Elephas maximus indicus: one gene and its partners. The protein of the gene in region 3 interacts with the protein of the main gene of each other region in a pairwise test. Links are inferred from orthologs where the notes say so. Each region holds a gene or a part of one and is shown on either strand. Other genes may lie near its edges.

Region 1 (7,572 bases), on a different chromosome or scaffold from region 3:
GCAGACCAAGGTCCGTTCTGAGTATGAATTATTCCCTTTACAGGACATCTGTGGCAAACACACATACACAGTGCCTTTTAAGAGACAATCTGTAGACTATGTAGATGCAAAGAAACAGGTATGTAAAAAGTGTTGAATTTTAAAAGCTGGCCACACAAAAACAAAAACTTTGTTAGAACAGCATCATTCACAATAGCCAACAGGTGTAAATAATCCAAATGTCCATCAACAGATAAGAGGATAATAAAATGTGGTCTAGCCATACAATGGAATATTATTCAGCAATAAAAAAAAATGAAGTACTGATACATACTATGACATGGATAGTCCTTGAAAATATGCTAAATGAAAGAAGCCAGACACAAAAGCCCACATGTCATGATTCCATTCACGTGAAATGTCAGAACAGGCAAATTCACAGGGACAGGAAGTAGATTAGTGGTTGCCTAGGGGTGGAGGTGGTAGTGATGACGGCTGCACAACTCTGTGAATAAACTAAAAGCTATTTTACACTTTAAATGGGTGAACTGTATGTATGTGAATTAAATTGCAATGAAACTGCTAAAAAAAAAACCCAAAACTTCAGGCCAATTGTGTCTGCCATAGCAACTAATTTCAACGGGCTAAATGAACCAAACAGACTCCCCATTTTCCAAACTGCTCTTGCTCTGGAACGGGGATTGGCAACCTCTTTCTATTAAGACCCAGACAATAAACTACTCAGCTCTGCTGTTGTAGTGAAAGCAGACAGAGACAATATGTAAATGACTGAGCACTGCTTCATTCCAATAAAACTTTATTTACAAAACTTATAAAAACAGGTGGCAGGCTAGAGAATCACTGGTAATCTACCCAACCCCCTTATGAGGAAGACAAGGCAGGTAATGCCTCTGTGGTAGTAAGGGCTCTGACAAGCTACATGACTTGTCCAGGTGACTAACAACTTGTGAATGGTGAGTCCTGACTTCATTTGGTGTTTGCTGCCTCTCCAGAGCATCCGCAACCCCCACATCCAGAGTCAATGGACTTATGACAAGCTAGTGCAGGGACCTAAACCCCTTTTGAAAACCTTCAACAGTATGACCATTCCTAAAGGGTCAGATTCAATCTCCTTAACCATTGAAACCTTACCCAAGAAGGCCCATAGAACCTCACCACTGATAACGTCTTTGTACAGCATGCACAGACCTGATTTATGGGTGTTCCTCCCACTGTACCTCATTCATTCTTTCATGATTGACCACCTACCATCTGCCAGGTACTGCTAAGAGCCTAACTAGTAAGTCTGCAGTAGAAAGGACAAGGAGAGGATAGATCAAGTGCCGCAGTGATGGAAAGCAGGCACCCACAACCTAAATCAACCCTTTGCTTTTGCCAACGTGGTGAATGCTTGAGCATGTCTCCTTTGCTCATGCTGTGCCTCCCTAGAATGTCCTTCCTTCTTCCTCTTTACTGGCTCATCATGGCCCACCTCCAAGCCCTTCATCTGGGCCCTGATAGCTGAAAACTCGGCTCCCCGCTGCACCGAACCCCCTTCCCTATTTGTATAAATTTATGGAGCTTAAAAACTGAAAGGACCACAGAAGCAGCTTATTCCTTCAGCTCGCAGAAGAAAATGAGGCTCAAAGGAAGTAGTAGCTTGCCCAAGATAACACAGTGCCTCAGACATAAGAACCCAGATTTGTACTCCAGCCACAATGTTAAACTGCCCATGTTCTGGACTTTCTAAAGCAGGCAGTGTATGGCATAGTCCCTCAAGCCACACTCCCTGTCACCTCTGGACATATTCTAGCTACCCATCACTTCTTCCTCCTCTTCACCAAACTCCTTCTCATCTATCAAGGCTCAGGTTAAATGTCCTTTCACTCAAGGCCCTTTCTAGGCCCTCAACCCCTCCCCAAGATGGGACTAGGTGCCTCTTTGTGTTCTCAGTTTCTTTGCACGTCCTTTATAAACCTCTATTTAATCAGAATACTATAATCCCCTGCCCTCACCAAGATGGGGACCCCTCTGTCTTGAAGACCACTGCACCTTCTGCCCTAGCATAGGAAAACCAACAGCCCGGAAAGAGAATGTTATTGCTCTTCATTTACTGAAGCAAGTCACTCACACTCTTACCGTAAAACTTAGCCCCTGCACAATGCAGGAGTCACTACCTTCTCCTAGGCTTTATCAGAATCGTAGGTGGAGAAAGGAGGCACTTGGTGTCCACTTCCGTTTACCAGAAAAGGCTGGGGGTGGGAGGGGTTCCGGTAGGGCGCCTAGAGTGAGGGCCAGGAAATGTGGTGCAGACAAAGTGGCCAGGAGGGAGGACTGCAGGCCTGGGTTCCAGGCCCTTCCTGTGTCAGGTCCTGTGCTAGGCGCTGGTGACACAGAAAGGGGTCAGACAGCCGGCCTTTACAGGCCACAACCTCTCACACAGTCTGCTCAGTGACCCTGGTGAAGTCTTGATCCTGAACCCAAATGTTCTCATCTGAAAACAGGGATAACATCTGTTTTCGTTACAAGCTTTGAGAAAAGTGGCGCGGGCCAAATGTCAATGCTTGCCTTGTGCGTTGCAGCGCTGCGTATCCTCCCGGAGTCCCCTGCCCGTCTGTCTGCACTTTCCCGGCCTGTGGCAGGGTCTGAGCCCTCAGCCCACCCTAACCGAGCTCGGAACCTGGCCCAAATAGGATGCGCCCTGGCCTCACCTGCTGGGGGGGCGTAGGCCCGGGCCCGGAGCTCAGGGGATGGCCCCGGCACCAAGGGGTCGATGGGGCCACCCAGGGGCCGTTTCAGGAGGTGGCGGCCCCAGTCCCGCAGCTGGAGGCAGCTCCTCCACATTGCGCCCGAGGGTCTCCGAGGACGCGCAGAGCGAAGCCTGAGTGCAGCACACACTGAGCGCAGGGAACCCACGACACGCGCGCGGGATGTTCGGAAACTTCTCTCACCGACTCCCAGAGCCCTCAGTTGCCCTGGGCGCCGCCATCTTCTTCGTGACACCACTGGCAGGCTGTCGCAACCGCGCGCAATCAGCATCACAAATGCACGTCGCCCCGCCCCTCCGCGCTGCGCCTCGAGAAGAAGACTACAAATCCCAGAGGGCCGATCGCGCACCCCGCCACGTGTTTTCTCCGCCTACCAATGGGCGGGCGCGCCGCGTGAGCCTGAGCTCGGCGCCCCGCGAGCCGGGGCCAATCGGAAGGGTCACTGTGTGTGTATGTGTGTGTGTGAGTGTGTGTGTGGTTGTATGAGCGCGCGTGTGCGTGTGTGTGTGTGTGCGTGTGTGTGCGTGCGCGCGCGCGCGCGCGCGCGAGGGCGAGTGGGGGTACCCGGCGCAGCGCTGGGAGGCCCTGCTCGCAGGTCCCGGGGTCCCGGTGGCGGCCGGAGCTCTGGTCCGCAGGTGGCGGGCGGGTGGTGCCCCCAGAGGCCACCCGCGCGTGCGCGCCCGGCCCCCCTCCCCTCCCCCTCTTCGGCTCCCGCGCGGCGGCGGCGGTTCCTCTCCCCTCCCCCAGCCCTGGCTCCGGGGGACCCCGCGATGCCGGTCCGCACCGAGTGTCCCCCGCCGACCGGTGCCTCGGCCGCCTCCGCGGCCTCCCTCATCCCACCGCCGCCCATCAACACGCAGCAGCCCGGCGTGGCCACCAGCCTGCTATACAGCGGCTCCAAGTTCCGTGGCCACCAGAAGAGCAAGGGGAACTCGTACGACGTGGAGGTGGTGCTGCAGGTGAGCGCCGGCCGGCGACTGCGGCCCAAGGACCTCCTCGCGGCGCTCACGGCCCGAGCCCGCCCGCGGTCCTCGAGCTTGCGGCCGCAGATCAGGCCCTGGCCGCCGGGGCCTCTTGCGCCCGGCGCTTCACAGCCGGGACCTGCCCAGCTGGTGTCTCAAACTCTGCGAGCCCTAACCCTGACCTGCCCCCTAAGACTGGGACCCACTCCCTCAGACATGGAGCCCCTTGACCAGATACCCCGTGACTGTGACCTAACCCTCTGGGATCCGGAAGCCCCCCACTACTTGGACCAGGTTACTTCCTACCCGTGACCTGTCTTGTCACCCCTAGATCAGCTCCCACCAATCCCTCTCAGAACTCCTTATTGGATTCATCCGAATCGGGACGCCCCCTCCCATGGCTGGGCCCGTGACAGTTTCTCCCAGACCTGAGACATGTCCCCCTTTCCTCAGTCCCAGGAATCCTCCAAGATCAGACCTCCGACCCCGGGGTTCTCCTCCTGCTCTGATTTCCTCCTTGGGTGAACTCAATCTGACTCTTAAGCCTTCCTCTTATTAGACCCTGAGCCTGAGAGCCCCCAACCCCACAACTGATTGCTCAGACCCTGGCCCCCCTCAAGACCAGACCCTCACACCCTGGCTGCGTGCTGTGGCTCCTTATAGTCTGTTGCCTCTTGTACCCCACCCTCTGCTTACCTACTGCTGCAGTCTCTTGCTTCAAGCACCCAGCTCTTCACAGCTGCCTCCACCTCCAGGCCTCCTGTCCCAGGCCTCTCATACCCTTTACCCCCATTCTTTGGCCACTTCCAATCTGCTCCGCCTTCCTGGCCCTGTACTCAGACCTCCTTCCCACCCCATACCTGAATCTTCCTCATTCCTTGCTCCAGGGGAACCTCTTTCTGTGTTCTTAATATTTACCCACACAGGCACAGGGCTTCCTCCTACAGTCTCTGATACCTGCGTACTGGCAAATCTAACTCACCCAGTTCTGTTTCTCACACGGATTATTTCCTTTCCACGTTCATCCTCCTCCCCCCATTTGACCTGGATCTCTGAGTACCTGCTGCCAGGTGCTGACCAGCTTTGGAAGTATACCTTCACCTCTCCTGGCCCTTCACTCTACCTCACCCCTTACACGCAAATGGTAGCACACTTGACATTTTTTCCCAGTCAAGGGATGGTGATGGTGGTGGTGAATACGTCTTTCCATCTTCCCTCCCCACAAAACTGTTCCTCCTCTATGTCTGCCTTTGCCTCTGGACCCACTTTCTCCCTCCCTTTGCCCCCTTTTCCTTAGTCTGTTACCCCACCTCCTAGGCTGTTCCTAAAAGCCCCTCCAAGTATCTGTCCCTTAGACAGCCCTTACGGAGAACTCTGAGGCCCTGGCATGATGTACTCCTGCTTTCACGAGCGAGGATAGAATGTAGAGTGTGTCCTTTCTTCATGTTCACCCATTGACCTTTTTTATTTTGAATCTTAAAGAGCATCTCTTCTGAACAAGTAGGTCTGCCACCCAAAAGACAATGGGGGTACATTTTTCTTTCTGCTAACTATAGCTCCCTTCATCAATTTCTTTTTTTCTTATTGTTCTGTGGGAATAAATTTTTTCTTTTTGATCGGGAAAACAGGATTCTCACATTAATTATGTCTTTGGTCTGTGAACCTAAAACCCTGCTGTGAGCTGTGATATTTATTATAATTGAAAAACTAGTGTGGTTGACATCTTTCAGCCTCAAAATTATATTTCTCATGAGGCAATTCCTCTTATGCTTAAAATGTGAGAATTTAGTGTGAAGGTACAAGCTTTTTTTTTTTTTTTTTTGGTAACCATAAAATTCTGGAAATGAGATCCTTGGTGTGGGTCATGTTTGGAATCATATTGAATTTGTGCCCATTTTTAAAGTTAATGGTTTCTGATGTTTTAGGGGGTAACTTAAGTGTCAAAACGAAATCTGCTTTGGTTACTTCTGCCATTAGTGTGTTGTTTCTGAACTCCTGTCAGGTGCCAAGTTTCTTTGTGAACCCACAAGGCTGAGTGAGTCAGTGGGCTTTAGAATCTGATGTTTGGGGGAGACTTGTGCTCTGCTGACAGGTTTCAGGGCAGCACAGAGAAGACATCCCTCCCAGGGCTGGCAGCTACTTGAGTAGGATGCCTGGTGGGGGGGCTGTCATCATGTCAAGGAATGCTGCCCTGCATCTGGATTAGTGAGCTGCTTGTTTGTCATGGGGACTAGTCAGTGGCATGTAAATTGCCCCATCTTCTGGTTTTTCAGCCAGGACTAGTTTCTTGGACTCAGCTTCTCAGAATACTTCTCCTGCCTTTCATAACTCAGCTACTTTGTTTTTAAACAGTTTTATCAGGATATCATTCATATACCATATGGTTTCACCCATTTAATGTGTACACTTCAATAGTTTTTAGTATGTTCATTGAATTTTGTAACTACCACCCCAAACCTGTTGCTGTCGAGTTGATTCTGACTCTTAGTGGCCCTCTAGGACAGAGTAGAACTGCCCCATAGAGTTTCCAAGGAGCACCTGGTGGATTTGAATAGTCGACCTTTTGGTTAGCAGCCATAGCATTCAACCACTGCGCCACCAGGGTTTCCAACCACCACCACAATCTAATTTTAGAACATTTTCATTACCTTCCCCCACCCCCTGCAAAAAATCCATGCCCCTTAGCTGTCACCACCTCCCCCCACCCTTATTCCCCAGCCCTAGGCAACCACTAATCTACTTTCTGCCCCTATAGATTTGCCTATTCTGGACATTTCATGTAAATAGAATCATACTGTTTGTGGTCTTTGTGACTGGCTTCTTTCACTCAGCACAATGTCTTCACAGTTCGTCCACGATACAGCATGTATCAGAACTTCATTTCTTTTAATGGCTGAGTAATATTCCATTGTATTATGTACCACGTGTTCATTCATTCATCAGTTAATTGACACCTGCGTTGTTTCCATTTGAGCTATTGTGAATTGTGCTGCTGTGAATGTTCACATGCAAGTTTTGTGTGAATGCGTGTTTTCAGTTCTCCTGAGTAGGTACCTGGGACTGGAGTTTCTGGGTCAGATGGTAACCCAGTGTTTCACTTTTTGAGGAACTGCCAAACTGACAATCCAAACTGACTGCACCATTTTACATTCCCATCAGCAATGGATGAGGGTTCCAATTTCTCTACATTCTTGCCAATGCTTATTATTTGTCTTGTTTGTATTAGCCACACTAGCGGGTGGTTAAAGAGCTCAGCTGCCAACTGAAAGGTCAGCAGTCCAAATCTACCAGCCACTCCTTGCAAACCCTGTGGGGCAGTTCTTCTCTCCTGTAGCGTCACTGAGTCAGAATGGACTCGATGGCATTGGGCTTTTTAGTGGCTGTGAAGTAGTATCTCTTTGTGGTTTTGATTTGCATTTCCCTAACCCTGGTGGCATAATGGTTAAGAGTTCGGCTGCTAACCAAAAGGTTGGCAGTTCGAATCCACCAGGCACTCCTTGGAAACTGTATGGGGTAGTTGTGCTCTGTCCTATAGGGTCGCTATGAGTCGAGATTGACTCCATGGCAACAGGTTTGGGTCTGTTTAATGTGGAATGATCATCTTTTTTGTGCTCACTGGAGCACTTTCTTTTTTGGGATTCCGTTTTAAGGCATTCCTCAAACCTTTGTGAGGTCCTGACTGGATCATTTTGTCTTTATTGTGACTACTTTGTTCTTCCTCACCAACCAAGAAGCTCAGCATAAATGAAGCCCAGTCACTCTGACAGGGACATTAAAAAGATCAGCTGCTAGACACAGCTGTGCCAAGAGACCTTCTTGCTAAGCATGGGCCTTGTTATCTTTCTCATTGAGATGCTGACCTG
Region 2 (7,870 bases), on a different chromosome or scaffold from region 3:
ATATAGCCGTTCTTAGATGACGCATGGGCACTTCAAACATCACATGTCATCAATGAACTCATTCTCTTTCCCTCCTGAGTCTGCACCACTCACTCTTTTCCACATTTCAGCAAACGGCACCACCATTCACCCAATGCCATACCACAGCCTGGGAGGCAGTCCCGCCTCATCCTGCACCCTCACCCCCAACACCCAGACAATTACCAGGTCCTATTCCACTTTGTAGAATATCTCTCAAATCCCTCACAGCCCTATCTAAACCTCGACCAGCATCATCTCTTGCCTGGGTTAATTCAAGAATCTTCTAAATGATCTCCATACTTTCAACCTTACTTCCCTCCAACTCATTCTCCACTCTGCAGCCACAATAACCTTCTAGAAATACACATTTGATTGGTCCTGCACTCAACATACTCTTCAGTAGTTTCCCATTCCCTTTAGGATAGTTTTAAATCCCAGGCATGGCCTCTAGGTCTTTTGGAGACTTGGCTCCTACCTACCTCGCCATCATTCATTAATCCATTCATTCAGCAAACCCTGAGTGCTTACTGTATGTAAGGCACAGTTCAGGGTGCTAGGAATAGATCGCTGAACAAGAGTAACACAATTTTTTGTCCTTGTACAGCTTACATTCTAATTGGAGGAGACAGGCAAGGAACAAACATAACAAGTAAAACATACTGGGTTAAAAGATGACAAGGGCTATGAAAATAAAGTTAAGAGTATAGTATACAAGTTGGAGTACAGTGGAGCAGAGGAGAGAAGGGATGGGGTGTTGCAATTTTAATTAGAGTGGTCAGGGTAGGCCTCTCTGAAAAGGTGAGTAACTGAGGAGGTGAGCCTACAGGCGTATGGGGACAGAACAGCCCAGGCAGAGAGAATAACCAGGGCAAAGGCCCTGAACTGCCATGTTTAAGCAACAATGAAGCCTATATAGGTATGATGAAGTGGACAAGGCAAAGGGGAAAATAGTATAAGAAGCCAGAACGGTAATGGGGGTGAGGGGGCTGAACAGATAGGGCTTTGAAGGCTATTGCAATCCTCTAGCTGTTGAGTTGAGAACGGACTGTGGGGGAGGGGTAAGAAATACTAATGAGGAGGCTCCTACAATAATTCAATTGCGAGATCTTGGCGGCTTGGAACAGAGTGGTACGGTGGTGTTCCAAGGTGGTAAGAAGTGGTCTGATCTAAATACATTTTGAAGGTAGAGTCAAACATGATTTCTCGACAGACTGGGTGTGGAGACAGAGAAGGGTCCAAGGTTTCTGTCTTGAACAATGGGAAGTTATCGTGCTACAAACTGAGATGAGGAAAACAGTGGGAGGCGCAGGTTTGGGGAGGAAGGTCAGGATTTCAGTTTTAACATGTTAAATTTGAGATGTTTATTAGATCTCCTGTAGCCCTGGTAGCACAGTGGTCAAGAACTAGGCTGATAACCAAAAAGTCGGAGTTCGAATCCATCAGCTGCTCCTTGGAAACGCTATGGGGCAGTTCTGCTCTGTCTTACAGGGTCGCTGTGAGTCGGAATCTACTCCACAGCAACAGGTTTATCAGGCCTCCAGTTGGAGATGCCAAGTAGGATATAATATTGAATCTGGGTTCCACTGAAGAGATCTGGGCTGGAATGTAAGATTGGGAGTAGTCAGCAAACAGATGGTGTTCAAACCATGAAGCTTGATGACATCACCAGAGAAGTATGTGGGTTTAACAGAAGTCCAAGGACTGAGCCCTTCAATAATTAGAGGTTGGGAATAACAGAGGAGCCAGCAAAAAAGACTGAGAGGTGAAGTAGCAGTAAAACAGAAGTGTGATGTCTTAGGCATAGCTAACCCTCAGTCATTTTACCAGTCTCAGCTAATAGGTTAATTTGGAAAGCCCTTCCTGACACCCAAGACTATGCTATTCCTTACTGGAGAAACTGTAGTTTCTTTATTATGGAATGTATTATTCTAGTTGTCTATTTAATTGTCTCTTTTCTAGACTGTTGGGTCCTGAAGTGAGACAGTGTCTACCTTGTTCATTTCTGAATCCAAACTCCTAGCACAGTGCCAGGCACGTAGTAAGCACCCCATACATATTTATGGAACAAAAAGATCATTGCTTAGGAGAACCTGGTCTAACTTTGGGGATGCCGGGGAGTAAGAGCTTAAAACTAGGAGTGGGCGTGGTGGGGCTCTGACTACTCTAAATTCGCTCCACGACTCGGCTCCTACTCCAATACCTTTGTAAGAGTGTAATATGGACTCCCTTCTTTAATTCCCAGTTATTCCTTTGCAAGTCACCTCTAAGTCGTCCATCCTCAACAAAGCTGTGTTCGTCGCACACTCTGCCCCCCACCCCCGCTCGCCCACCCGCCCGCCACCGCTCACCCAGCCGCGTGGTGCGCTCCCTCGGCGCCTTGGGCCTGTCTCCAGTCCCATGTTCAGTCTCCAGCTCCTCCTGCTGCTGCCGCGCTTGTTGCAAAATCCGTCGGGTCAGCCGGGGGCCCACATATTCTTCCTCTTCTTCTCTGGTCCTGCGGCCCCTCCGTTTTTCCCGGGCCCCCGCCCGCACTGCGTCCGCAGTCAGGATCTGCTCCGCCAGGGGCGCGTGTTTTTCCCGATCCCCAGCCCCGCGTGCCGCCTTAAATTTTGGCATTTTCCTCAAAAAAGTTACCGGGAAGATTTACACGTGGGTACCGAGGAGAGAAGCCCAGCGCGCTTGCGCAGTGAACTCTCAGTTCCCAAGAGGCAGCGCAAAGAACAGCGCGACCCCCAGCGTTCGGAGGCCAGAAGTGCCATCAGCTTCTCCCCCCCTCCTAAGAGAGCTCGTGAGCCTTGGAGCTAGATACTCGAATACCTTCATTGCTGGTTCCTCTATGGGGTGGCAGTCCGAGCCATGCTTTCGTAGCTTCATGGACCCAGGCCCTGGATGCCCAGCCAAATCTCAGTTTCCGAAGCTGCAAACCTAGGGGCGGGAACTGAGCGGATGACGTTGCTGGAGGCGTCACCCAGGGGTTGCCCAGGCAGGTCTCTTTCCTCGTGGCGCGTCGACTAGGCGCACTGTTTTTACGTAACTTCCGGGGCGTTTCCCTCGCTCGAAGCTTTCCTTAGTGGGTTTCACTTCATCGAGAGTGCTGAGTTTCAACTGTTTGAAGCTGCAACCCTCTTGGCCGGACACCATGGGAGTGACTTGGTAAGACTGCAGGACCGCTCGGGATTTTGTGGGGCGAGACTGGGGGTCGTGAAGGACCTTCGGAGCCTCGAACAGACCTGGGAGGAACTACCAGGGTCCGCCGTCCCCCAGGGAGCTTAGCAAGATGTCTCCGTGTTGTGGGAATGAGAGGCACACTGTGAGGGCTGCGGGTTCTCCGGGCCTGTTTCCTCGAAAATGAGCCCCTGGAAGGCGGCAGGTAAAAGGTTTTATCCCAGAAACCCATTAATGTTTGTATCTCCCTTTTTTCTTTCTGCCTGTGAGGCCATATTACTGCTAGTAATAGGACTTCAGCTTCGGAAGTAGCATCTCCGGCCTGGCACCTATCAGCAGGCAACGCTGGAGGGAGTGGAGGGTAGGCAAGGAGAAGACAGTGTTTCTTTTAGGTTTTTGCCTGATCCTCCCTACAGCCACAAAGTGCAGTGAGACCAGTTTGTGTTTAGTTTCATTTTCGCCGTTTTAATACCTCGGGTCAAGAGTAAAAACAAAGCCACTGAGAATTAGAAGATGGGCTTCTAGTTGCTTTACCTCTTCAGGACGTGTTTCCTACTATGTTGGCTTCCATGGTTGGTGTAGTTTCTATCGGCCTTTTATTTCTAACATGTTGTAAGTCTCAGTTGGAAGAGGGAAAGGTGGGCCTAATGCTCTCAGAGGCATTATTTCCAAAAGGCTTAGTTTCAGGACGTTTTAATGTCATTCCATTCAAAGACATTAAAACATTTTTCCAGTCAGAGGGGCTGGAGCCCAGAATATCTGAAGTCAGTGGCTGTAGGCTTCTCATATAAAAGTGTGTAGGAGCATTTTTTTCTCCTGGTAGCCCAGGCTCTTGAAAGCTTGCAAGTGATTATGCCCATGTTTCCCACAGTTGATATATGATTCTCTTCTGAGTCCTGTAGTGTAAGAGGGATGGGAATGAAAAGTTTGCAACATGGAGGCTTGGGACCCTGGAAACCCCTGACACTTTGTCTGTTGGGACCCTTACCTTTTTTTTTTTTTTTTAAGAATCCTAGGACTTTTGTTTCTCATAGCTTTGGTTCAGGCATTTTCTTTCTTTTTTTTTTTTTAAATAATTTTTATTGTGCTTTAAGTGAAAGTTTACAAATCAAGTCAGTCTCTCACACAAAAACCCATATACACCTTGCTACACACTCCCAATTACTCTCCCCCTAATGAGACAGCCCACTCTCTCCCTCCACTCTCTCTTTCCATGTCCATTTCGCCAGCTTCTAACCCCCTCCACCCTCTCATCTTCCCTCCGGGCAGGAGATGCCAACATAGTCTCAGGTGTCCACCTGATCCCAGAAACTCACTCCTCACCATTTTCCAACCCATTGTCCAGTCCAATCCATGTCTGAAGAGTTGGCTTCGGGAATGGTTTCTATCCTGGGCCAACAGAAGGTCTGGGGGCCATGACCTCTGGGGTCCTTCTAGTCTCAGTCAGACCATTAAGTCTGGCCTTATGAGAATTGGGGGTCTGCATCCCACTGCTCTCCTGCTCCCTCAGGGTTTCTCTGTTGTGTTCCTGTCAGGGCAGTCATGGGTTGTAGCCGGGCACCATCTAGTTCTTCTGGACTCAGGATGATGTAGTGTCTGGTTCATGTGGCCCTTTCTGTCTCTTGGGCTCGTAATCACCTTGTGCCCTTGGTGTTCTTCATTCTCCTTTGATCCAGGTAGGTTGAGACTCATTGATGCATCTGGGATGGCCACTTGCTAACGTTTAAGACCCCAGACGCCACTCTTCAAAGTGCGATGCAGAATATTTTCTTAATAGATTTTATTATGCCAGTTGACTTAGATGTCCCCTGAAACCATGGTCCCCAAACCCATGCCCCTGCTACACTGGTCTTTGAAGCATTCAGTTTATTCAGGGAACTTCTTTGCTTTTGGTTTAGTCCCGTTGTGCTGACGTCCCCTGTATTGTGTGTTGTCTTTCCTTTCACCTAACGTAGTTCTTATCTACCATCTAATTAATGAATACTCCTCTCCCACCCTCCCTTCCTCCCCCCTCATAACCACAAAAGAATGTTTTCTTCTCAGTTTAAACTATTTCTCAAGTTCTTATAATAGTGACCTTATACAATATTTGTCCTTTTGCAGCTGACTAATTTCACTCAGCATAATGCCTTCCAGGTTCCTCCATGTTATGAAATATTTCACAGATTCCTCACTGTTCTTTATCGATGCATAGTATTCCATTGTGCGAATATACCATGATTTATTTATCCATTCGTCTGTTGATGGGTACCTTGGTTGCTTCCATCTTTTTCCTATTGTAAACAGTGCTGCAGTAAACATGGGCCTGTATATATCTGTTCGTGTAAAGACTCTTATTTCTCTAGGATATATTCCAAGGAGTGGGATTGCTGGGTCGTATGGTAGTTCTACTTCTAGCTTTTTAAGGAAGCGCCAAATCGATTTCCAAAGTGGTTGTACCATTTGACATCCCCACCAGCAGTGTGTAAGCATTCCAGTCTCTCCACAGCCTCTCCAACATTTATTATTTTGTGTTTTTTGGATTAATACCAGCCTTGTTGGAGTGAGGTGAAATCTCATTGTAGTTTTGGTTTGCTTTTCTGTAATGGCTATTGATCGTGAACATTTCCTCATGTATCTGTTAGCTACCAGAATGTCTTCTTTAGTGAAGTGTCTTGATTGTCTTTTTGGTTTTTGCCATAGCTAAGTACCACCTGTAGTGTTTATTAATGTTTTCTTTTAAATCTGTTTTTTTTCTTAAACTTAGTTTAACCATCAACTTACATTCTTAGAGAGGTAGATTACTATTGTGGTTAAGAGCATAGATGTGGGAGCCAGGTTGCCTGGTTTGAATCTTGGCTACACCACATGTTAGATATGTGACCTTCGGCAAGTTACAGCAGCCAACAACAATTTCCTCATTTATAACAAAGAGAAAAGTAATAGTGCCTCATATACAGCTGTTCAAGGATTTGAAGAGTTAATCCATCTAAAGACCTTAGGATACTGCCTGGCAGATAGTAAGTAGATGGTTGGTAATTGTCACCTATCATCCTAAAGAGGAAGCAGTTTCACTCACCATAGAAGGACACCTTGGAAATAACATTTTTTTTTGTTGCATTGTATTAAATTCTCATAGATATTGTTGCCTCTCATCTCCAAAGATGATAAACTTGAGGTTGCTTTCTCTTTGTTCCTTGGGCTGTTGACCTTTCTGCAGTGATGGAAATGTTCTATATCAGTAGTGCCCATTGTATCAGCAGTGTCTAATACACTAGCCCCCAGCTACATGTGGCTATTGAGCCCTTGCGATGTGTGTAGTTCTTTAACTGAGGGAGTGAATTTTAAATTTTGTCTTATTAATTGAAATTTAAATATGCCATATGTAGCTAGTGGCTACTGTACTTATAGCCCAAGTTCAGAGTGTTAGAGAATTGGTAAAAGTGTACGAAGTCCAAACATACTTTATCCTTGACGTAGTCAGAACTGAAAGAAATGCACAGGGAATCTCTTTCTCATGACAGGAGTCAGTGTTACGGAATGCTCAGTCTGTGTGCCACCTAAAGTCTTCTCTTGAATGGTGGCACACGTACTACACTTGGGAAATGCTAGAGTGATAAGAAGTTCGCTGCACTGGTGTAAGAGTTCTGAGGCCTGTGCTTTGGTTTCTAGAGAAACTTTCAGGGATGAGGGGGTCAGGGTGAGTGGTCTCTCAGGTAACTCCTGGGCCTGATGAGCTATGATTTTGTGAGTGAGTGGCTCAGTGAGGCCTGTGTGTCTCTGGATACTGATGATTTTGGTTCTCTCTCTTCCAGCGTGTCCCAGATGCCTGTGGCCGAGGGCAAGAGTGTCCAGCAGACTGTGGAGCTCCTTACCCGAAAATTGGAGATGCTTGGGGCAGAGAAGCAAGGAACATTTTGTGTGGACTGTGAGACCTACCACACGGCTGCCTCTACCCTTGGCAGCCAAGGTCAGTGAGACGGGTCTGTAGGATGGTTGGAACCAGACTTGGAGCTGCTGGACGTTTGTGTTCTTTGAAGTCTGTCTGCTCTTCTGCTAAGAGTGGTATTCCTGAACAAGAACTTAATTCTTGGTCCTTCATGTCTTAGACTGGGGCTATTTTTGGCTGTTTTTCGTTTCAACTGTTTTAAAGCAGTGTTTCTCAAAGGGTAGGTTTGGTGACCAAGTGCATCAGAATCCCCTGGGTTACTTGTTAAAGGTGCAGATTCCTGGCCCCACTTACTGATTGACTGACTGGTGTTGCAAGTCTCGTAATCTACATTTTAAGAAGCATCCCAGAGGATCCCTATGTACTCTAAAGTTTAAGGAAGACTCCTTTCAGGCTCAGGAATCTCATGTATGATTTTTTAAGTACTTTCTAACACCTAGCCAGTGGCCTTGGCTACCTCTTCAGCATAACCTTGACCAACTTTTGTTTTAAATGCATTGCCTGATGAGATGGGGGTGTGAATGGTAGGGAGGGAAAGAATATCTTTGAACATGAGTTAGGGATCCTGGATTTTCTTGGTCTTGGCTCTGCTGTAACTTACCATATGACCTTGGACAGTTCCATAACACCGAGGTTAAGAGCAGGGATCGTGGAGACAGGCTCCTGAGTCCTGGCTCTGCCACTTCCTAAGTGTACAGCATTAGGTAAGTCTTCTAACCCATCTGTTCCTTGCCTGTCATTTGCCTCTTTCCCCTT
Region 3 (7,554 bases):
TGCTGGGGCAGTACAAGCTGCTGACCTGTCATTCCTGCTTTAGCAATGCTTGGGAAAGGCAAGGAAATGTAAGCCCTGCAAATTGGAAACCGGGCCCTTTGTCACATGAACTGTCTCTTCTTTGGGTTATGGAAGAAGGGAGAGTATCTCAAGGTCTGCTTCATCAGTGACAAAACAGTTGTCTTTCCCTTACACACCAAGTTTTGCTGGGCTTGGAGCTCAATCTCCAGAGCGTTGGCTGTGCGTTTCAGTTCTAAGATCTCCGTCTGGCAGCCTTGCAGCTGCTCTGCACTGGACAGCTGCTGCTGATTCAGCTCCTCTGTCTGAAACATAGGCACTTTTAGAGAAAGCAAATGAATGAGGCAGGGATCTGGAAGCCTGCTATTGTGTTGGCTCCAGGTGCTGACCTGAACAGCGAACCATGCTTCCACGTCTCTGCGGTTGTTGGCGAGCACTGTTTCATACTGACAACGCATCTCATCCAGGACCCTGTTGAAGTCGGTCGTGGGGGCAGTGTCTAGCTCCACACTGAGTCGGTCACCAAGCTGTCCAAGAAGCAGGTTGACCTCCTGAAAGTGGAAATAGGAATGTCACAAAGTGGTGGGGGAAAAATCAATTTGACAAAATTCTACCCCAATGGCATCCTATTTCTATTTTTTGGAACAGTGGCTGGAAGTGTGGAATTTAGATTCAGGTGGTTTGAGTTTGAATGTCTTAGCGCTACTTATAAATGCCTCAGTTTTTCATCTGAGAAGTGGATATAATAATAGTTCCTTTCCCAGAGGTATATAAGAATTAACATACATATAACTTAAACAAGTCCTGGTACATAGTAAGCTCTCAATAAATGTTAACTACTACTATCATCAAACATGTTCAAAGAGAAAACCTTCTTTGTTACATCATTCAACTTTTCATTTTCCAACCTCCGCAACATGGCATTATCATACACTTCATGTTTTATGATTTTAAGTACAGAACATTTGGAATCATGGAGAAATATTGCATGGGTATCCCCTTTTCGAAATGGACTTCATAGTCTGCGTTTATCAGTCCGATTTCATACCTCTTGGGCTGAAGCTAGGGGTGTCATAAAGCCTCCAAGGGAAACCATTTGTGGAATTACTCAACTCCTCTGCAAAAACAATGGCAAGTGAAGAGTTTGATTCCTTCATAGGGCGCTGGCCAGAGTTGTCTCATTCAGAGATACACTGAAGTGATCAGGCCGAATAACAAGTGTGCCTCGAGGAATTCTGTTCCAGCTTAAGCAACATCAATCCAGATTCAATTTATACACTTAAACATAACATCTGTCAGTTTAACCCTGTCACCATTAGGGTCCTTTAGGGATTTTGCCACTGTCCTCACCTCCTCATGGCTTTTCTTAAGGCAAAAGAGATCATCCTTCAGGGACTCCACATGGGCCTCCAGGTCAGATCTGCACAGGGTCAGCTCATCCAGGATCTTGTGCAGGCCACTGATGTCAGTCTCTACCAGCTGGCGAAGGGACAGTTCACTCTCGTACCTTTCGCAGCAAAAGAGATATAGCCAATGCTTACTCTGCTGGGTCCTGTGCAAAGTACTGGGGCTGTACTGACGAATGATACATGGACTCAAGGGAGCCACATATCATAATTTCTTTTATATCCCAAATAATTATAAAATAGAGTTTTGCGAGAATTTTTAGCTTAATAATATTACACAGAGAGACCATTTGTGCCCAGTGAGAGTGTTTATGAGAGAAAAAGAACCAGAGAGAGGAGAGAAGGAGAACCATAAATCATTTTCAAATTCAAATTAAACTTACTTTGACCTAAAGTCATCAGCAGCCAGTTTGCAGTTGTCAAGCTGTACAGCAAGTCTAGAATTCTCTGCCTTCGTGCACAAAATCTGGAAAGTAAGTTATGTAATAAATGGCTCTTTGAAAGAATACTAGGTATCTATTCATTTAATTGCGATGTAACTATCCTTTAAAATATTTATAAGAAAACATAAAATAGCTTTCATCCTGCTTTTCAAATTAACAGTGTCACTCATGAAGAAAAATTGCCAATTTAACAACAAAACAGAGAAGTAAAATGGCTCGTTTTTTACGACTATAAGACATGAACACAGTTACATTTTTCTGTCCATAGTTTGTATTATGACTGTATAGATCCCCGTCCATGATAATAGAAATTCATCAGTAAAAGAAAATGGTTACTACGTGAAATTATATAATTAAAAAGATGGCATTTCATTTTCTATGTTCAAATATACAGTGTTATATGAGAAGTAATTTCAGATATAACACAGTTTTCCCTCGTTTTATAAATGATAAAGGTAAAGCCTATACATAAGCGACTTTATTATCATCACTCAACTAATTCGTGGCAGCACTGGAGCTAGTGCTGGTGTTTCCTGACTCTTAGTCCAGTGCTCATTCTACCACAACACATTAGCTCTTGGAATCCCCTCCTCCCTTGGTTTCCTTTCATGCCTAAAATGTCCTCTTCTAGTATAAAGATAAAGCAAATCACAGGTTGGGAAAACAAAGGTATTAGGGCAATGGGTTGCCAGACCTTTTGTTGGAGATCTTCAATGGTGTCAAAGTAACACTGATAATCAGGACACACCAGTGGGATTTCCTGTTCACATTGTTCTCGTATCCTGCATTCCAGTGCTGCATTCTCCTCTTCCAGGCCACGCACCTTCTCCAGATAGGTGGTGAGTCTGTCATTCAGGAACTGCATTGTCTCCTTCTCGTTGCTGTTGAACACCCCATCCTCACAACAAGGACAGTTCCCCACCAAGCATGGAATATTACAACTCCCAGCAAAGTAGCATGGTGTGAGGCAACCAGTTGACAAGCGAGACGTGGATGGGAAGGTGGGGGTCTGGCATCTGGTTGTAGCACAGGTGTTAGGGAGACAAGTCGTTTTCATAGAACGCGTTGAAACAGATGGGTGATCAGAAGCCCTGGCACCAGACTCAGAAGAGCAGCGAGTGGGAGAACACTCAGAAGGCATCCTACTGGAAGTGAAGAACAGAGACTAGCTGTAAAACCCAAGTTACCTGACTCCAAAAGTCTTCTTCCTTTCTGAGACTTTTATATAGTCCCCCCAAGTGGGTATTTGCAGACTGCTCTGGATGTTTTCATTAACATCGTTGGTGGCAGTTTTCTTAAGAACATTTCATTAGTCTTGTTTATTTACAGAGGAGGAGTTTTATGCCTCATAAAAGAGGGATAACTCCAGGTTTCTAAATCGGGATGTACACGATTTCTGTGTGTGAGTATAATAAAATACTTGTTTCAGAAAATCTTCACGGGGGACATTGCCCTTTTGACAGAATATTGGAAGAAAGAGAACATTTGGCCATTCAATAATTACAGATATAACTGATTACAGGTAAGGATAAGAGTATTTGCACTGATTTTGATCCTGTGCATTTAATATTGTGTCTCCTTTAAAAAGAATATTGCATATCATTAAATGTCGTTTATTTTTGCCACCACCATAAAAATATTCAGTGTGATTAGCAATCTTTGCAATGGTATTTGTGATCTTGACTTCACATTTGTGTTTACAGGGTAGAGGAGTGAGGTGTGTACTTGATTTGACGTGTATGGGTGCACATGTGTATATGCGTGAACCTTCTCTCTCTAGGTGAAAATGGAAAGATCACATTACATACCTTTTTTTGCCCTTTAGGTCGAAATATAAATTGGTTATCAGGAGTTGTCATCTTTGGTTTGCTGAAACTTGCCTTCTCCACTTCTCGTGTGTCGCATGTTTGGATCAGAGATAATGTTTCTTATTTGGGAATGTTGTTGTTGTGAGCTGCTGTTGAGTTGGCTCTGACTCATGGCAACCCAATATACAACAGAAGGAAACATTGCCAGGTCCTGCACCATCTTTATGATCTTTAGTACATTTGAGTCCATTGATGTGGCCATCTTTGTGTCAGTTCATCTCACTGAGGATTTCCCACGCCTTCCCCGGCCCTTCACTTTATCAAATATGATGTCCTTCTCCAGAGATTCGCCCCTCCTGATGACATGCAAAGTAAGGTATTTGAGAATAGCTGTAGGTTACTCAGGTATTTCTAATAAGAATAAAATATAAATTCTAAGTTATAATTTTTTAGGCTCTTGAGAGATCCTTAGAATACGGCAAGAAAGCTATAGAAGACTTTTCTTTCGGTGAGATTATGGAGTCTGCTTTATCTTATTAATTTTTCTGAAGACTTCAATTTTATGAAAATTAAAAATACTGGGACTTGGAGGATAAAAATTCTACGGTGTGGGTTCCAGGCTGACAATTCTGCTGGATGAAATCCCTGGTGGAATCCCTAAGGGGATGAGACTTGAGATAAAACTTTCCTGGATCCTGTTTTGTTTTATTTTTAAATGAAACTTTATTTTTATTTTATTTTTTAGATTTCTTATTGTGCATTAGGAGAAAGCTTACAAAGCAAATTGGTTTCCCATTTGATAGTTTGTACCTGAAGTGTTCCGTGATTTGGACTCTCTTTTCAATCTTACCTCCACTATGATCCATAATCTATTCCACTGTGATTGTGGTTATCTATTTCATTTTCAAAGGTGACACAGGGAAAATTTCCTCCAGAATCTTTGAGATCCTTATAGGAAAAAGCATTAGTCTGACAAAGTTAAAAATTTCATGATCCAGAACAAACTTAATTATTTCTAATTCTGAGCACTACTTCCTAGTTAACTGATAATGGAAAAAACAAAACCAGGGGACCTTCTATAGGATGGATTAAAGTAGTCTTTTAGGATTTTTTATTCACTGGACAGAGTTGGACTTGATTTTAGTGATTCTAAAATCAAAACTTATTTTTCAAATTCTTGGAGTGATTCACGACATATTGGTGCTGTTACGCAACAGCCGTTGAGTTCAAGGATTAAAAAGCAAATTAAAAATTACAAACATCCAAGGAAATATTACAGTCCCTTACTAACCTATAGTGTTGGTGGAGAATATTGAATATACCTTGGACTGCCAGAAGAATGAACAAATCTGTCTTGGAAGAAGTACAGCCAGAGTGCTCCTTGGACGCAAGGATGGTGAGACTTTGTCTCATGTACTTTGGACATATTATCAGGAGGGACTACTCCCTGGAGAAGGACATCATGCTTGGTAAGGTAGAGGGTCAGCAAAAAAGAGGAAGACTCTTAACAAGATGGATTGACACAGTGGCTGCAATGATGGGCTCATAGTGTCTTAGTTATTTAGTGCTGCTATATTAGTTATCTATGAGTTGGAATCAACTTGACTGCAATGGTTTTGGTTTTTGGTTTGGCATATTATCTAGTGCTGCTATAACAGAAATACCACAAGTGAATGACGTTAACAAAGAGAAATTTATTCTCTCACAGTCTAGGAGGCTAGAAGTTTGAATTCAGGGCACCAGCTCTAGGGGAAGGCTTTCTCTCTCTGTTGGCTCTGGGGGAAGGTCCTTGTCATCAATCTTTCCCTGCTCTAGGAGCTTCTCAGCACAGGAACCTCAGGTCCAAAAGACACGCTCTGCTCCTGGCATTACTTTCCTGGTGGTATGAGGTCCCCGTGTCTCTCTGCTCAATTCTCTCTTTTATATCTCAAAAGAGATTGATTTAAGAAACAACCTTGTCTTGTAGAGTGAGTCCTGCCTCATTAACATAACTGCCTGTAATCCTGACTCATTAACATCATAGAGGTAGGATTTACAACACATAGGAAAAATCACATCAGATGACAAAATCGTGGACAGTCATACAATACTGGAAATCACAGCCTAGCCAAGTTGACACATATTTTGGGGGGATACAATTCAATCCATGGAACATAGCAACAATTGTGAGGATAGTGCAGGACCAGGCAATGTTTCGTTCTATTGTACATAGGATCGCTATGAGTCAGAACCGACTCGATGGCACCTAACATAATCATTAACCTAATGAGTCAAGAGAAGAGATCTTTGAAGAAAGTCCATGTCTTGATTGTTCACCATAGGGTCCACTTAATTAAAATGCAGCAATGTCATTATTTTAAAGTAACTGCAGGTAAAATAAGACATATTTCCTTCTGTCTCAATCTGATTTCTATTTGTAAAATATTGATTCCTAGTTATTATATATATATATATATATACATCATATATACACACAGGGAAAGACTATTTATTTTGGCCTTGATTAATTAGTGCTGTGTTATATGATGATCTGTATCTATAGTTTTCATCTTAGAATATGGAAATTGCCCAGCATATGTTTTATAGCTTATCATCCTCACAGTGAGGAACATTAAACCATACCAAACCAGTTGTTGTTGAGTTGGTTCCAACTCATGGCAACTCCATGTGTTGCAGAAGTAGAACTACACTCCATAGTGTTTTCAAGGCTGTGAACAGTTGGAAGCAGATCACCAGACCTTTCTCCTGGGGTACCTCTGGATGGGTTTGAACTGCCAACCTTTCAGTTAGTAGTTGAGCATTTAACCATTTGTGCCATCCAGGGACTCCATGTGAACATTGGGAATAGAGAAAAATAAATAGAAAATTTCCTTTTGTAACATACTCTTACCCCAGAATATAACACCTTCTGCTGTGATAATCATTTTTTTATTTTTATCACTTTCCACTTAGGAGGTCCAAAGTTTGATATATGACCTTCCTCAATCTGGTGCCAGTTTGCCTTTTTAGGCTCTTTCCTGTTACTCTCTTTTACAAACACCAGACTCCGACCATACCTCCAGGCTTTGCAGGTCCTGTTTCCTTGGTCTAATCCTCTTCTACTATCTCTTACCTGGATGAACTCACAAGTCAAGACTCAGCTGAAATGGCATCCAACTGCTTCACACTGAGATGGAGGCTCTTTTTATAGCAATTTGTACTTACCCCACCTAAGGCAACTGTCACATTACATTGCAATTTTTTATGCATTTTAGTGTTTATCAAGGTTGTGATCCTTACTCTTTTGATGTGTCCTTTCTGGAACATCAGTTGAATGTGTGAGGTGCTCAGAGAGCTTTTTCCATTCTGTCTGGATTGAAACTTTAAAGTCTATTAGTACTGAATATTTTTGTTATTGTTGGTTGCCATCAAGTTGATTTTGACTCATAGTGACTCCTGTGGCAGAGTAGAACTGCCCATAGGATTTTCTAGGCTGTAATGTTTAGGGGGAGCCCTGGTGGCACAGTCGTTAAGAGCTCAGCTGCCAGCCAAAAAGTCAGCAGCTTGAATCCACCAGTCACTCCTTGGAAATCCTATGGAGCAGCTCTTCTCTGTCCTTTAAGGTCGCTATGAATTGGAATCGCTCTATGGCAACGAGTGTTGTTTTGGGTTTTTTGGTAATCTTTAGCGGAGTAGATTTCTCCTGTGGAGCCACTGGGTGGGTTCGAAGCACCTACCTTTTGGTTATCAGCTGAGCACTTAACCATTGCACCACCAGGGCTCCTTATTAATACTGAATGGCTGCTGATATTTCCATTCAGCTCTTAATGCCCCAGCAGCCACTCTCTGCTAGGCCTCATGGAATTTCGTCCTATATACATGCAACCCAGTCCTCTGAAG
Region 4 (7,214 bases), on a different chromosome or scaffold from region 3:
GTAAATAAGGTGCATGGCCACCTTGTGGCCTAGAGTCCATGCAAATAAGGTGTATGGAACCCTAACATGGGGATTGGGCAGTTTTGCCATCCCATTGGGCCTAAAAGAGAGCCAATTCCACAGCAGAGGAGGACTTGACTGCCACCAAAAAAGAAGAGACTGGAGCAGAGCGTGTCTTTTGGACTTGGGTCCTGCACTGAGACCCTCCTAGACCCAGGAGACAGACAGAATAAGCTCTAACACCAGAGATGGCAAGATGGCAAGAATCAGGGGCAGAGAAGCAGCAGCAGCAGAGCCATGAGACCAGCAGGAGACAATGCAGTGAGCTTCCCAGCTCCCTGAGCGAGAGAGCTGAGCTCCTTTGGGCAGGACGCTTCCTGGTGCAGTGGGGTGCCTCTTGGCACTCACCAGCAGAGCTAAAAGGACTTTGTAACACTTGCCTGAGCAGGGTAGAGGCCAGGCCAGTCCAAAAGGCCCAAGGGGTCATAAGGTCAAGGACCAGACAGAGGCCAATATGTGGGCACAGCTGAGAAAGAGGCTGTCCTGATCAAAGAACTGTATCCTGAATTGTAACCTGTTAGTACCCTAATAAACCTCATGTAACTTTTAGTATGGTCTGTAAGTTTTGTGTGGCCATTCCAATGAAATACTGAACCCAGCAAAGAAGTAGAGAGTGCTGTGGGAAGGACGGCTGGTGTCAGAATTGCTAAAAAGGCTGGAGGACCACCCCCAACCCCACCCCACCCTTGCCTCACAGGAATCAGCCTTGGGTCATTGATGCTAATGATTCTCTCCCCCTTGTGAAGTTAGTGGAGGTCAGATGCCCCCACCATGGCATTTTTACAGATATTACTGGTATTGTTTGATAATTTCCACATTCTGGGAGGATCACCTTTCTTTGGAATGGACACAAATATGGATTTCTTCCAGTTGGATGGCCTGGTAGCTGTCTTTCAAATTTCTTGACAAAGACAAATGAGCATTTCCAGCGTTGCATCTGTTTGTTGAAACTTCTCAATTGGTAGTCCATCAATTCCTGAAGCCTTGTTTTTCACCACTGCATTCAGTGCACCTTGGAATTCTTCTTTCAATACCATCAATTCTTGATCATATGCTACCTCCTGAAATGGGTGAACATTGATCCATTCTTTTTGGCACAGTGACTCTGTGTTTTCCTTCCATCTTCTTTTGATGCTTCCTGTGTTGTTCAATATTTTGCTTAGAATCCTTCAATAGTTCAACTAAAAGCTTTAATTTTCTCTTCAGTCCTTTCAGCTTGAGAAGTGCTAAGCATGTTCTTCCCTTTTGGTTTTCTAACTCCAGGTCTTTGCACATTTCATTATAATACTTTATTTTGTCTTACCAAGCCACCCACGGACTGCCAAAAGAACAAACAAATCTGTCTTGGAAGTACAAACAGAATGTTCCTTAGAAGCAAGGATGGCAATACTGTGCCTTACATGCTTAGGACATGCTGTCAAGGGGGATCAGTCCCTGGAGAAGGACATCATGCTTGGTAAAGTACAGGGTCAGCGGAAAAGAGGAAGACCCTCAACAAGGTGGACTGACACAGTGGCTGCAACAATGGGCTCGAGTATAACAACAATTGTGAGGACGGTGTAGGACCAGGCAGTGTTTCATCCTGTTGTGCATAGGGTTGCTGTGAGTCAGAACTAACTCGACGGCACCTAACAACAACTACAACAATTGAGCCATCCCTTGAAATCTTCTGTTCAGCTCTTTTACTTCATTGTTTCTTCCTTTTGCTTTAGTCACTGGATGTTCAAGTGCAACTTTCAGAGTCTCCTCTGACATCCATTTTGTTTTTTTCTGTTTTTTTTTAATGACCTTTTGCTTTCTTCATGTGTGATGTCCTTGATGTCATTTCACAACTCATCGGGTCTTCAGTTATTAGTGTTCAATGCATCAAATCTATTCTTGAAATGGTCTCTATCTTGGTCCCCTCCAAAAGCCACAGGGTCTTGAATTAAGTGTTTTGATTTCTGCTCGGATTTATAGGAAAACTGTGGCAGCAGTGTGAGAGACTACAGAGAGGGAATTGAAGTCAGGAGACAGAAAACAACAGAAATAATCCAGTCAAACAGAAGGATGAGTAGTCTGAGCAGAAATCATAAAACCAGTGGTTTGGAAGTGATCTAAGGTAATCTAGGTCAACCTTCTACTATCTACTGCTTAAGTTGGGAGTGGGAGAAAAGATCTTAGAATGTAAGCTCCACTAGAGAAGAAGTCCTCACTGATTTACTCCAGGAACCTAGACAAGTGCCTACCACATAATATGCTATTCAATAAACACTTGATGGGACGAATGTGGCAGTGCTATATAGAGTATGCAGTGCCAACAGTTTGCGCTCAACTACTAACCAAAAGGTTGGTGGTCTGAATCCAGCCAGCGACACCATGGAAGAAAGGTCTAGTGATCTACTTCTGTAAGATCACTGTTCTGTGCCATTGAGTTGATCCTATATGACAGAGTAGAACTGCCCCATAGGGTTTCCTAGGCTATAATCTTTATGGAAGCAGAATACCAGGCCTTTTCTCCTGTGGAGCCACTGGTGGGTTCGAATCACTGATATTTCAGTTAGTAGCCAAGCACTTAACCATTGCAAGACCAGGATTCACAACCATTGAAAGCCCTATGCAATTCTACTCTGAAACACATGGGGTTGTCATGAGTCAGAATTGACCCCATGGTAAAAGAGTTTTTTAAATATAGGAAAGGAGAAAATTTTATCAGAACTTCGCAGCTGAATTTGAGGAGAAAGGGAGGAGTTGAGAAGAAACTCACAAGTGACAGAACTGAGCACGTTGGGAAGGGGAGCCAGTTTTGGAGGAAAAGTATGACTGGGAGCTATGGAACTGTGGAGTTTCCAAGTGGTGTAAATGGTTACTTTGGTTGGATGCTAACTAAATGGTTGGAAGCTCGAGTCCACCCAGACACGCCTTAAAAGAAAGGCCTGGATTTTACTTTTTTAATTCGAAAAACAGCCATAGAAAACCTTATGCACAGTTGTACTCTGGATATATATGACGTCACCATGAATGGGATTCCACTGACAGCAGCAGTACTGGTGATCAAACTTGCATTTCTAATATAGCCCCAACCTCATTAGCTTACTTTAACATGACCTTTACCTAGAAAGGATGGAAATTTCCAAAAATCCTCTAAAATACAAAACCAAATCCGATGCCCTGGAGTCAATTCTGACTCATAGCGACACTTCAGGATGAAGTTTAACTGCTACTGGGTAAGAGCTACGGCTGCTAATCAAAAGACTGGCATTTGGAATACAGCAGGCGTGACTTGGCAACCATGTGGGTTAGTTCTACTCTGTCCTATGGGGTCGCTATGAGTCAGAATCAACTCCACTGCAATGGGTTATAGGGTTTTCAAGGCTGTCAATCTTTAGGAAAGCAGACTGTCACATCTTCCTCCCGCAGAGCTGCTGGTGAGGTCAAACTACCAATCTTTTGGTTGGTCAGCAGCCGAGCACTTTAACCACTGTGCCACCAGAGCTCTTCAAGAATCCTCTAATGATCTAAAATTAATGTTTCTTCCTAGATGCTGCCCGCACCCTCCACGGAACGCACACAAATTGGAGGAAAGGAAGTTGGTAGAAAAGCCTGCAGGTGAGGGTTCAGGGCTATAGTCTTGTCCCTGCCGCAATTACAGCATCCTCCCTAGTCTTGGGGCGACCATCAAAGGAAGATTTGGAAGAAGATAACTTAAAGTAATAGCGTGGAGGTGGAAAAAAACAGACACAGGATCATGTCCAAATCGTGTAACTTCTGGCTCCAGACCCGCCGTCTGAGGTGCTGCTGGCGCCAGCTGTGGAACTATGACCCAGTCTGGGTAACGGTCGCCAGCTTAAAGGATGGCAGCCAGGAGACGTCTAAGTAAGTCAAAGTTGGGGCGGCTCCCTCTGAGAAGGCAAAACACTGTCCTCAAAGCGTATTGCGTCACGTGCCGAACACCCGTTTCCTTAGCCCCAGATCCACCTCTGCGACTCAGCTCCACGAGCCGCACCAATGTACGCATACGCACAAAAGCCACGTGCGCCTTTTCAGCCCCTTCCGGCACAACCTTTACGTCGTACGTTCAATGGCCTGTCGTAAAGGCCAGGCAAGTGAGGCCTCGAGACATAGGGCACTCACGCGGCACAGCCTACCCTGCTAGCCGGCAGGCGCGCGCAAGTCCCTGAGGCAAGCCGGGTAGACTGGAGCCAATCAGGCGCGCTGACGTCACCCCGGAGCTGCTGGCCGTGCCGCACGCCGGGACGTGGGAGGGCGTAGCGGGTTTGGTTGCACCAACACCGGTTCATAGTCCCGGACAGGCGTGTCCTTGGAGTTAGAGAGCGGGACGTCCGGCTTTTGAGCGGTGACCTTCGAGTTGCGCGCGAAGAGATAGTGGTAAGCACGGGGCCCCGGAAGGCTCAGCGGGTAGGAGGCTGAGCCGTGAGGGGCACACACCTACGTGGCGGGCGCGCGGGCGGCTAGAGGTCCGCGTCCGGGACTGCCGGGTGGAGCCCGTGTGGGGCAGGCAGGACCTGGAGTGACGACCCGGGGCTGTGGTCAGGCAGAACCCAGTGGGCCAGGCTGGATGGCAGCGGAACCCCATCAAGGTAGAAACAGGGATTCGGCCAAAGCCTTGAAGGCCCGAAGGCGGCTTGAATGCGGATCCGAAGAAGACGCAGGCCGTCGCGTTTTCGGTGCCGAGGGACCTTGAAAATAGGCAAGACTTGCTCCCCGGTGAGGAGGAGTAGGGAGACAGCGGCACTTCTCGTCTTCCTTCAAAGAAAATAAAAGCTGCTTTTCCTTTCGTAAGGGATCATTTTTTCAGATCAGTAGTGGCTGCCCCCGTTAACCTGCTGAGGCATCGCAGTAAGGCGGTTTTCATCTTAGTTTCCTTGAAAGCGGCCTGTATGGGTGACCTCGTGATGGCTCCCGGGGATCCCAGAGCTGGGAGGGTGAGCATGTCCCTGGGGGGAACCTCGCAGAGCCCTCACCTGCCCCTAATTCAGAATTGTGATACTTCTGTGACCTTGACTTGCTATCTTGAAACTGGTGCTTGAAATGGGTTTCATTTTGCTTACTTGGGCTTTAATCTTAAATCCCTTACACACATACAGAAGTGTGTGTGTTTGAGTCTTTTTTTTCTAAACAGTGTTTTGATATTAAAGAGCCTGTTGGGAGTGTACTAAGTAAAACAAGATTCAACCTGGTATTTAACATCATAGAGTAGCAATGGATTCATAATTAAGTGACTGGAGTGGTCATTGGTTTCCACTGTATTTGTTTCTTGGGGGAAGAATTACTAACTTGGAGCTTTCATTCACTTTTAGAATTCAAAATGGGTGATGTCGAGAAGGGCAAGAAGATTTTTGTTCAGAAATGTTCCCAGTGCCACACAGTGGAAAAGGGAGGCAAGCACAAGACTGGGCCAAATCTGCACGGCTTGTTTGGGCGGAAGACTGGTCAAGCCCCTGGATTCTCTTACACGGATGCCAATAAGAACAAAGGTAAGAGGGGTATGGTTGTTAATAACCAAAAGTACAATTGCATGACTTTAGCTTACAGTAAACCCTTTATCAAGAATGTGAAATATTTACTCAGTGAATCTCTCCTTGCATAGGTATCACCTGGGGAGAGGACACACTGATGGAGTATTTGGAGAATCCCAAGAAGTACATCCCTGGAACAAAAATGATCTTTGCTGGCATTAAGAAGAAGGCAGAAAGGGCAGACTTGATAGCTTATCTCAAGCAAGCTACTAATGAGTAATAGTTGGCCACTGCCTTATTTATTACAATAGTAATGTCTCTTGACTTTTTTTACATGTACCGTATTTAAAGTGATCTCATACACCAGAATTCAGATCATGAATGGCTGATAGAATGTTTTTGTTGGGCATTCCTGGAGTAAATAAGATTGGCTGTGGTTAAATAAATACGATCTAACTTTTTAAATTTTGATAGTAATTTCAGTTCAGCAAGTGGTATTCCTTTTCCCTTTTAAAGATGTGTTTGCACTTGAGGCTAAATTGGATTAATAGTGGTCGATTTTTCACAAAGATGGTAAATGCCATCTCACAACCTATAAGAGATTAATTTTATATTTAGATTTATATAATTGGTGACATGGATATATTTAAATAGTGGGGAAACTTCTTCACTGTCTAATGGAACAGAGCAAGACTGTATTTCAGTTTGTAGTCATCAGCCTATTTAAACACAAGGGTTGGAGATAAGTTAGTTATGGCCACTTTATTGTTTTGCTCATAACTATGTCAGTCTAATTAAAATTCCCTGTATCTAAAGTGTTGCCTTTTAATTAAGAAAAGGCATTGCAGTGTGGTTTGTTTATGATATCAAAAAAGAATATTTAAAAAAAAAAAGTAAAGACTAACACTTCTCACATACTGTAGATGATCTAGAAGGTCAGATCCTTTTAAAAGTCAGCATGATGAGATATAGTAGCAAGTTGGATTTTAAATTCTTTACCATCTAACACTAAGTTGCAATTCAGGATTGTCTTTAAGCAGCTATTCAAAAACACATAAAACTGTTGAACCACTGTATACGTGTGATTGGTTATGGTGCTTTTATCAACTTGTTAGAAGGATTAAAGTAGAGGCAATATATTATAGGCACAAGTTTGTAAATTGGTCATCAGGTTTAATGTAATTAAAAAATAACATTATAATTTTTTGAATGTGCTTGATTTAATGACTCATGTCAAAATCATAATGGTTAAAAAGTGTAATAGCTCTGAAGACCCACAAAGCAACATCAATAATTCAGTCTTAGAGTTAGCTTGGCCAGAATAAGAACTACAGCATTTACACAAGATGTGGGTAGAAGAGTGTGCCCTGGTCAAAGTTTTGTGATAACGTAACAGTGTATAATTACGTACTAAATTATTTTACACACAGTTTTTTTTATACATATTGAGAGTAGCCCCTGGAAATTTTATAGAGAAGGTGAACTAAACTAAGCTGTAAAGAATGGTGAGAATTTCTCAGTGAGGGTAACAAATCTGTGCTGGTGGAAGAGTATTTATCTTTGTGGGATAGTAAGGAGACTGGGAAGAGAAACTGGTCAGTTATTTCAAAAATGATGGAAATTATTAGATAGGCGTTAAAGGTCTGAGTAATTTGTAACCAGTGAGCCTTATTTTCAGTCAAAGGGAAGATGAGA

The links.
Region 1: the proteins of KRT40 (region 3) and ATPAF2 interact in binary tests that used the Homo sapiens proteins (3 or more experiments, as listed by UniProt). The two-hybrid records come from large-scale screens. The link is inferred for Elephas maximus indicus from reciprocal best matches to the Homo sapiens genes KRT40 and ATPAF2.
Region 2: the proteins of KRT40 (region 3) and BYSL interact in binary tests that used the Homo sapiens proteins (3 or more experiments, as listed by UniProt). The two-hybrid records come from large-scale screens. The link is inferred for Elephas maximus indicus from reciprocal best matches to the Homo sapiens genes KRT40 and BYSL.
Region 4: the proteins of KRT40 (region 3) and cytochrome c interact in binary tests that used the Homo sapiens proteins (3 or more experiments, as listed by UniProt). The two-hybrid records come from large-scale screens. The link is inferred for Elephas maximus indicus from reciprocal best matches to the Homo sapiens genes KRT40 and CYCS.

What each region holds. Positions count from the first base shown.
Region 1 is NC_064820.1:214,307,231-214,314,802, reverse strand, and holds the start of ATPAF2 (ATP synthase mitochondrial F1 complex assembly factor 2), read right to left. Parts: upstream 2,910-7,572; 5' UTR 2,824-2,909; coding exon 2,691-2,823; intron 1-2,690. Other genes in the region: GID4 (glucose-induced degradation protein 4 homolog), read left to right, coding at 2,910-3,193, 3,343-3,706. UniProt on the Homo sapiens protein: Plays a role in the assembly of the F1 component of the mitochondrial ATP synthase (ATPase).
Region 2 is NC_064819.1:106,347,082-106,354,951, reverse strand, and holds the start of BYSL (bystin), read right to left. Parts: upstream 3,003-7,870; 5' UTR 2,638-3,002; coding exon 2,370-2,637; intron 1-2,369. Other genes in the region: MED20 (mediator of RNA polymerase II transcription subunit 20), read left to right, coding at 3,161-3,174, 6,981-7,135. UniProt on the Homo sapiens protein: Required for processing of 20S pre-rRNA precursor and biogenesis of 40S ribosomal subunits. May be required for trophinin-dependent regulation of cell adhesion during implantation of human embryos.
Region 3 is NC_064837.1:48,073,165-48,080,718, forward strand, and holds the start of KRT40 (keratin, type I cytoskeletal 40), read right to left. Parts: upstream 3,009-7,554; coding exon 2,562-3,008; intron 1,891-2,561; coding exon 1,808-1,890; intron 1,526-1,807; coding exon 1,369-1,525; intron 570-1,368; coding exon 408-569; intron 324-407; coding exon 198-323; intron 1-197. UniProt on the Homo sapiens protein: May play a role in late hair differentiation.
Region 4 is NC_064826.1:86,187,005-86,194,218, reverse strand, and holds cytochrome c, read left to right. Parts: upstream 1-4,294; 5' UTR 4,295-4,428; intron 4,429-5,360; 5' UTR 5,361-5,368; coding exon 5,369-5,537; intron 5,538-5,650; coding exon 5,651-5,799; 3' UTR 5,800-6,707; downstream 6,708-7,214. UniProt on the Homo sapiens protein: Electron carrier protein. The oxidized form of the cytochrome c heme group can accept an electron from the heme group of the cytochrome c1 subunit of cytochrome reductase.